Coturnix japonica: one gene and its partner. Each later gene encodes a partner of the first gene's protein in a complex. Links are inferred from orthologs where the notes say so. Each region holds a gene or a part of one and is shown in the gene's direction. Other genes may lie near its edges.

Region 1 (3,807 bases):
TGGAATAGAAGTTCTGACTTGCAATCCAGTGGTATAGTTAGCTTTGTTTTCCTTACCATTTCAGGTGGGTTTGGCCTTTTCCTAATCCCTTTTGTAAGCAGTTATTTGACATGGCATAGTGCTGTTCTGCGCACCAGGGGTGTAGCTGCAGTGTAGGTGTAGGCTTGCCCAATAATCACATTGTGTGATCATTGAGGATTTATTCTTTGCTTTGGTTGTAGTCGGACCTGAGTCGCCTCTCTGAGATTGACAAGTCCTTGGCTGTGTTCTGTATGGCTACGTATGGTGAGGGTGATCCTACAGACAATGCCCAAGACTTCTACGACTGGCTGCAGGAGGCTGATGCTGACCTGTCAGGTCTCCGCTTTGCAGTAAGTGGTTTAATTCCAGTTTATGCTGTATTTGGGCAGGAAAGTCAAAAGCCTTTCACTGCACTTGCACGTGGCTTGGGTAAAAACACAACATGATGTCTATGCCTTCCACGCCTGTTCTGGATGCTGTCCTTACTGTCTTCCTCTCCAAGCTGCACGGATGTTTGCAAACATATATCTACGTGTTTTAAATGTAGCTGTCAGAGAGCTCTCTCCTCTCCCTGAATCACGAGGGTTTGCCCAAACAGCCCAGCAGACATTGAATATACGGTCTGTAAATGAGTTACAGGCTGCTGCTGTTGTTCAGGAGCTAATTGAGCAGCCTTTGGCTAGATCTTCTCTCACAAATTAAATTGCTTGGAGGAGTGTGTGGCTCTTTTTCTGTGCTCCGCTGAATAATTGGCTGAGATACAGCCACCTCACCTGAACGCCAGCCAAATTCCTTAGGCAGCATCACAATTGCAAATGAAAGGAAAATGCACTGCTGGAGATGTTAAGCTGCTCTGTAAGAAGCAGTTTGTAAGCACTTGCTGGGTGGTTTGTAGGAGGGGAAGGACAGAGGGTGCTGTCTGATGGAGGAAATCCAGTCCCTGCTTCTCCTTGACTATCAGTGTTCTCTTTCAGGTCTTTGGGCTGGGGAACAAGACTTATGAGCATTTCAATGCAATGGGGAAATATGTGGACAAGAGACTGGAGGAGCTTGGAGCCCAGCGCATCTTTGAGCTTGGGCTGGGAGATGATGATGGCAAGTGAGTAGCTCAGCTTGAAGGGTTGCTCTGAACTGGCTGTAGCATCACAGAAGGGTCCCTGGCAATGTGTTGGCTCTACTGCTAAGACAGAAGCAAACTCCTTAGGGCTAGTTATGGTGGTTGCCATGTCCCTGAGTGTGTCTGTTCTCTCTCATATAAATCAGTCACGTATACCCTGTATACCTTGCTGAAATCCAGCATCAGCTTTAAATGACCATAACTGTATATTTCATGAGGCTTCACAGCTTCTTCTGCCTTCGCACTTCTGCAGCTCCACTGATATCTGTGCCTGCATGGAGAAGCCCTCTCATCCCTGCAGATGAGACAAGCTCCATCTCCTTGTGAGCTGTTTATTTTATGGTTGAATGCAGCAGTTTTCCAACTCAGAGTCCAAGAGAAATTGTTTGTATTTACCTGAACAACCTCTTGGCAGAAGCTTAATGTCACGAATTACATTAACCTGTAGTTTTGCCTCCAAGGACAGCAAGATCTGATTAGAGGGATCTGCCCTGTGTGGGAGGCTCTGAATTCAGGAAAATAGACTTTTCAAAATTGGAATCTGGAAGGTGACCTCATGCCAGGAATGGGCAATGGGATGCTGAGATGGGCAAAGACACCGAGCCTGAGTTCCAGCCTTCTGTGGCTGTGAAGGGAGGTGTAGCAGGAGTTCCTTTCCTCATACTCAGTGCTCTGAAGATGCTCTTCTGGTGATGTGTGAGCATGTAGAGAGAACAGGCAGATGCCTTTTTCTATGGTGAAGGAGGAATTCCATAGGGATCTCAGTTGGCTCTTCTGGGAACATCCCTCTGCTTCCTCTTGAGCGGGAGTGTTAAAACTCTCTTTCTCCTCATCCAGCCTGGAAGAAGATTTCATCACCTGGAGAGAGCAGTTCTGGCCAGCAGTGTGTGAGCACTTTGGGGTGGAGGCTACAGGAGAGGAATCCAGGTGGGTATGGGAGCATTTTCATCTGGGTGCCAGAAAGATTGGCCACGTGATGGCTGTGCCATCAGGCCTGAGCTGCTGTCCCCTTTCCTGCAAGCTGTTGCTTCTTCCAGGCTTGAGGCACACACAGATTTGCAGTGCTCCCAACAGACAGTTCTCCTTGGTTTGGGCACTGAGCATTACCACCCTGCTTCCTGATGTGTTGAGATGGGTGAAGGGTGGAAGTGTCATTTGTTTAAACTGCACCATACCCAGTAAAGCAGGTGATGTTTCCAATTGGGTCTCGTCATTACCAATTTGACATTTTTTCCTATCTCTTCTGTCCCCTTTCCTCCTCCAGCATCCGCCAGTACGAGCTGGTGGTGCACACAGATGTGAACATGAACAAGGTGTACACTGGAGAGATGGGCCGTCTCAAGAGCTACGAGAACCAGAAGCCGTAAGTGCCAGACTTGCCTTTTGCCAATGGCATTCTTGATGTTTCTAACTACACAAGCTATGCAGGCAGTGTCATCTTAGCAACACAGCCACGTGGCAGACATCTGCCCAAGAGAAATGGGTTCAGATGTCCCCTGGGACTCTCAAGGGTTCCGCAGTTAATGAGTCATTCATGTTTGAGAGTTTGGCTGTGTTCTCCTACGCTGTTTGGCTGGTAAGTGTGCAGCATTTGTCCTGAGGTCAGTCAGAGCCTTTCCTCCCCTGGAGTGGTTACTGTGTGATGGTTGCTTGCAGTATTGTTGTGGGGAGGTTGTGTAAATGAATTACAACCTGAAATACCATTTTGAGAGGTGACACTCCCTCTAATCTGCTGTTGCATCACTTGTTCTAAATGGGATAGGAGCTGTTGGTTGCCGGGCTGTACTTAGAAGGAAAATGATTGTTTTCTCTGCCAACTGTGGGTAGCAGCAGCATAAGTTTTGTGCTATGGTGTGCTTTGAAACACGAGCCAGGATGGCTCCGTGCTCTAATGGTGGGACCCTGCTCTGGAGACAGAAGGAACATATCTAGATGAAAGCAGTCCTGTGAGCCTGCAGGAGAGTAACCCAGAGGGACCTTGTCTTTCCTCCCAGGCCGTTTGATGCCAAGAATCCCTTCCTGGCTGTGGTTACAGAGAACCGTAAGCTGAACGAAGGTGGGGAACGACACCTGATGCACCTGGAGCTGGATATCTCCAATTCCAAAATCAGGTAGGTTCTGGGAAAAACTACTGTGATTTTTGGAGCTCCCCTGTAGAAAAGAAAATGATGGTTCCTCAACTACCATGACTGCTGATTCTTTGGGGTCCCTGGTTCTGCAGGTGCTGTGCAGCAGCTCAAGTTTCAGTGTTATCTTTCTAACCAGCAGCCTGTCCTCCAGCTGAGCATCTCAGGCTCGGTATGGACAAGAAGTAGTGCCTGTATTTCATCTCTTCCCCTCCTGTTCTTGTACCAGGTATGAGTCTGGGGACCACGTGGCTGTGTATCCGGCCAATGACGCATCTTTGGTGAATCAGTTTGGCGAGATTCTGGGCACAGATCTGGATACGATCATGTCACTAAACAATTTGGATGGTGAGTATGGATCCACTCATGCAAGGCCTCTGTCCTTCCCACTACATCACGCCCACAGGTCCTGTAAGACACTTCCAGGCAGAGACATCCCATGGCCACTCTGAATGCATCTTGCAGTAGTGGCATAGTGCCTGTTTGCTGCAAGCCAGCTGAAGTGGATCAGCTGTGACATGTTTGCTGTGCCCATTCAACAAC
Region 2 (4,570 bases), on another chromosome or scaffold:
CTGGAGGTGTCCCAGAGCCGTGTGGATGTGGCACTGAGGGATGTGGTCAGTGGACATGGTGGGGATGGGCTGATGGTTGGACCGGGTGATCTTAGAGCATGGATGAAAGGAGGAATATGGTTTAGGGAGGGTAGCTTGTCATATTATTACACACTCATGTAATGAATACTATCATTCAGTTTCATATCTTTCCTTGTTCCCCTGAGCAGAATTATAGGCTCAGTGTGTTCCAGTTTCCCATGTCCAAATAGGGCTCATTGAAAGAAGTGAGAACTGTGCTGTAAGCACATGATGCCAGTGGAAAATGCTCATTTCAAAGCCAGTCCAGTGGCAAAAATTGCACTGATGTCTTGAGGCAGGTCTGGCCTCTGTCTAGGAGCCAGGGGATGTTAAAGGTTTCTTCATGCTTGCTTCAAAGAATTGGACATCCCAATAAATATATTTTATCCAATAGCAAAATACGCATTAAGTGGCCTAAGGGTAAGAGCCAGCTTTTGCTAGAGCGCTCTGTAGCTTTAAAGAGCAGAGCAAGACAGGAAAAGCATGGCTGAGTCAGGCTGGGGGCGCTGAGTAATCCTTCCTGAGTGTGCACAGTCTCCAGATGTCAGCCCAGCACAGAGCTGTGTGCGTGCACAATCCCTCCAGGCCACCCCAAAACACTGCACCGAGCTCAGCTGTGCAGAGGACATATGATGCCCACCCAAATCCAGGTGGCCAGATAGACAGAAGACCCCCTTTCCAGTCCATGGCAGCAGGGTAATGATGGCTTTAAGTGCCCCACTCTTTTGGCTCCAAGGCAGAATGTGTGCTTTCCCAAAGCACAGATGAATGATGCATTCCCCGTCCTGGTTAGCTGAGCTTCCAGCATAGCTCCAGATGGAAGAGGGGCCCCACTACATCTGCGGGCTGCCTCCTTGGCTGACGCAGCAGACAAAACAGCAGAGCAGCCAGCAACTAGCAGGAGCACCTTGTCCAACTCTCCTGTCCTACATCAGAGAACCTATTTGCTTTCGCAAATATCTGCAGCCTGCCTCAGTCTCCCCGAAGCCCTGCATCACACCTTGGTAATCTGCACACAGCAGACGGGACAAGCCCCAAGGTATTGAGGGTATTGAGGGTATTGAGGGTATTGAGGGTATTGAGGGTATTGAGGGTATTGAGGGTACTGAGGGTGTTGAGGGTATTGAGGGGATGGCCTGCTGTCCTCCTCTACCACCTCACACATGGTGCTGCTCACTGCAGGGCCCACCTGCCGCACCAATTCAGTATGCAAAGCTCCCTGTGCCTTTAGAGGCTCTGAAGATGCTCACAGCCGTGGGTGATAAAACATTGACACCAGCCTCTTTCTAGGGCAGATGCTGCAGAAGCTGCATCCCCTCCTTGGTGCTGTTACAGGGGTGAATTCCTCCAGCCCTCCCAGCCGTCCCTGGGGGCTGCGGGGGGGCCCAGCAGTGGGAAGGGAAGTGCAGCGTGTTGCAAGAAGCGCGCTCACATGAGGTCAGCGGCTGTGCTGCTCACGTGGCTCGCCTGTATAAAGCCGGGAGCAGGAGCCGGGTACAAAGCGCAGCGCTTCTCGTCCCGGGAGCGGGTTCGAACAAGGAAACCAGAGGGAAACAGAGGCTCGAGAGCGGGCGGAGAAGGATGGAAACTTCGCAGCCACACGGCGCTGAAAGGTGAGAGCGGGACGGGGAGGAGACGGAAGCGCTCAGCCGGCAGTGCTGTATTCAGCCCTGCTTTCAGTTGCGCTTCTCCTCTCACCTCTGGATGCGTTCTGGCCGTGCTCCCCGCTCAGGACGGAGGGGGAATGCTGGCAATGCTGTCCCCGGCTCGGCTCCTTTTCCTGCTGTCCCCGGCTCCCCCTTTTCCTAAGGTCCCTTTGGCTGGAGCAGAGCAACAACACTGACATCTGTTTTGCTTCTCTCCCTCACCCAGCATGTCCCAGGACCTGTCGGAGCTCCTGAAGGAAGCCACCAAGGAGGTGCACGAGCAGGCAGAGAACACACCCTTCATGAAGAACTTCCAGAAGGGACAGGTGTCCCTCCACGAGTTCAAGGTAGGGTGTAACAGCACGGCAGAGCTACTGTCACATGTAGTTAAAAGAGGTAGAAGAGTGGGCAGGTATTGGGTCAGACTGGATATGGGGGCTGCAGTGGCACAGGCTGCACAGGGAGGTGGTGCAGTCACCATCCCTGGAGGTGTTCAGAGCTGTGTGGATGTGGCACTGAGGGACGTGGTCAGTGGGCATGGTGGGGGTGGGCTGATGTTGGACTGAATGACCTCAGTGATCTTTTCCAACCTTAATGATTCTGTGATTCTATGAATGGAGCGTGAATTTAGAGTGCTCTAAGCGGTTACAGCTAGAAATAACGATGGAATAGCAATGAAGTGAGGCTGTGAGATCATCTCTGGCACCACACTTGACAGTGTTTTAGCCGTCACTGGGGTTATAGCAGAGCTGAGATCGGGAGCAATTGCTCAAAGGCAGAGTGAGTTGGAGCAAGCTGTGCCTGCTGCCAGCAGGTAGGAGCCTGTTGCATTGCTTGAAGTGTAAGAGCTATGTGCCGGTACTAGTCTGCGTCCTGGCTAGGAACAGGATGGATCTGAGCCACGTAACAAAGCCGTGAGCAAAAACAATGCAAACACCTGGCTGAGAAATTCCCAGGAGGCCGGAGGACCTGACGCACGGCTTTGCAAATAACAGCTAACGATCCAGCCCGTGGTTTAATTGCTTTGTTGTCCAATAGCTCCTCAATAGATAAATGCACGAGAACAGAAATTAGTCCATTTATTTCTGACAGGTTGTATTCACAGCACTTAGTCAAGCATGAATCCAATGGCAGGCGCTGACTTCCCGCTGATAGGAATGGGGCACTCGTTGGGCAGTGGACTTTGAGACAAGCCGGTGATGAAGAAAGGCCTCTGAGATTCAGGAGCACGGCTTGGTTTCCCAGAAAATATTTACCCAGTGATGGGAAATGGGACGTGACGCCGGGCTTTGAATAGCAATAGCAGTTTCCAAAGGCCACCTTCCCCACTGAACCACTTAAAACAACCGGCCAAGTTAATCTTTCCTCATTGGTTGGGCAACGTTTTTGTTTCGGTTCCAATCCAATAATGAGTTATTGTTTAAAAACATCTTTCTTTCCCCCCTTATTTACCTTCTTGGCAAACCCATTTACCTGCCCTGACATGTGACTCCTGGGATCTGAAGATCAGTTTCCACAACAAAGTCACTGCCTGTGTGTGTATCAAAGTCCTGTTTGCAGTGGTGAAAAGCTGAAATCATTCCCGCAGTACTGATCCCTCTGTTGGGAGGGTAAACTGCTTTCTCTCTAATTCCCCTCAATCTGACTTTGACTCTGTACCTCCATGTTCTACGCTTTGCTGCCGATAAGGGATTTCAGTGTAAGTGAGAAGTGGGGATATAGATACGTACACAGCCTCTACAAACAGGGTGCCCATGGAAGGGAAGAACACAGCCAGATTGTCTTATGCCACGTGGAAAAGCTGGCAGATATAGACGAAAATAGCATGTAAGCTGGGAAAAACAATAACAGTGGTTTCAAAACAGAGGGATGAGCACATAGCTGCACAGTGATCCTTCACAAAGGCATCTTTCAGAGGCCTCCTGTCCCTTATATCTTGTCTCCCTGGGGCAACCAAAGAGGCATTCCCCAATGAAGCTGAATGAGGCAAAGGGGTGCCTCCATTCCTGTAAGCATTCAGATTGGAGCAGTACACTACGAAATGTGCCTTTGGGAATGCTCTCTATATTGGCTGGGGGGATGAAGAGAGCAGGTGAGGAGTGACTTAAGTTTCTGTTATGTCAAGCCGGGAGAACTTTAACTCGAAGGTGAAGGCAGCAGCTTTTAAGGGCAGGTAAGGCCAGCATCTGCTGAAATGGGCTAGATGGTGTCTCACTGCCCCTTGCATCTCCATTTGCTGTCCAGGAAACCTGCAACATAACATATATACCGCATAGTGTAATACTGAGTGTGCATGAGTAACTTATTTGTTAGTGGGATTTGTCCCAAAAGCAGACAGACTCACATGTAGCTCATCCTCTTCTGTTTCAGCTGGTCACGGCATCCCTGTACTTCATCTACTCTGCTCTGGAGGAAGAGATCGAACGTAACAAGGACAACCCTGTCTACGCTCCTGTTTATTTTCCGACGGAGCTACATCGGAAAGATGCCCTGGAGAAAGACTTGGAGTACTTCTATGGCAGCAACTGGAGGGCAGAGATCCCATGTCCTGAGGCTACTCAGAAATACGTTGAGAGGCTCCACTACGTTGGCAAGAAGAATCCAGAGCTGCTGGTGGCCCATGCCTACACTCGCTATTTGGGAGACCTGTCTGGGGGGCAGGTGCTGAAGAAAATTGCCCAAAAAGCCCTTCAGCTGCCCAGCACTGGAGAAGGGTTGGCTTTCTTCACCTTCGATGGAGTCTCCAACGCCACCAAGTTCAAGCAGCTCTATCGGTCCCGCATGAACGCCCTTGAGATGGATCATGCTACTAAGAAAAGAGTCTTGGAGGAAGCCAAGAAAGCATTCCTGCTAAATATACAGGT

What was found.
Region 2: the proteins of NADPH--cytochrome P450 reductase (region 1) and HMOX1 are in contact, whole or in part, in a crystal structure (PDB 3WKT), measured with the Rattus norvegicus proteins. The link is inferred for Coturnix japonica from reciprocal best matches to the Homo sapiens genes POR and HMOX1. Residues at the interface, in NP_113764.1 of Rattus norvegicus: Thr88, Thr177, Asp208, Asp209, Arg313, Arg514, Lys515, Gln517, Arg519, Leu520, Phe522, Lys523, His626, Lys665, Met667, Thr668, Lys669, Gly670, Tyr672; in NP_036712.1 of Rattus norvegicus: Asp12, Ser14, Glu15, Gln38, Ala75, Pro76, Glu81, Lys149, Ile150, Lys153, Ser171, Asp173, Asn174, Thr176, Lys177, Phe178, Lys179, Gln180, Leu181, Arg183, Ala184, Arg185, Asn187, Thr188.

What each region holds. Positions count from the first base shown.
Region 1 is NC_029534.1:3,220,511-3,224,317, reverse strand, and holds part of NADPH--cytochrome P450 reductase, read left to right. Parts: intron 1-221; coding exon 222-371; intron 372-995; coding exon 996-1,120; intron 1,121-1,975; coding exon 1,976-2,065; intron 2,066-2,402; coding exon 2,403-2,501; intron 2,502-3,132; coding exon 3,133-3,249; intron 3,250-3,493; coding exon 3,494-3,612; intron 3,613-3,807. UniProt on the Homo sapiens protein: This enzyme is required for electron transfer from NADP to cytochrome P450 in microsomes. It can also provide electron transfer to heme oxygenase and cytochrome B5.
Region 2 is NC_029516.1:47,610,635-47,615,204, reverse strand, and holds the start of HMOX1 (heme oxygenase 1), read left to right. Parts: upstream 1-1,532; 5' UTR 1,533-1,641; coding exon 1,642-1,673; intron 1,674-1,932; coding exon 1,933-2,053; intron 2,054-4,076; coding exon 4,077-4,568; intron 4,569-4,570.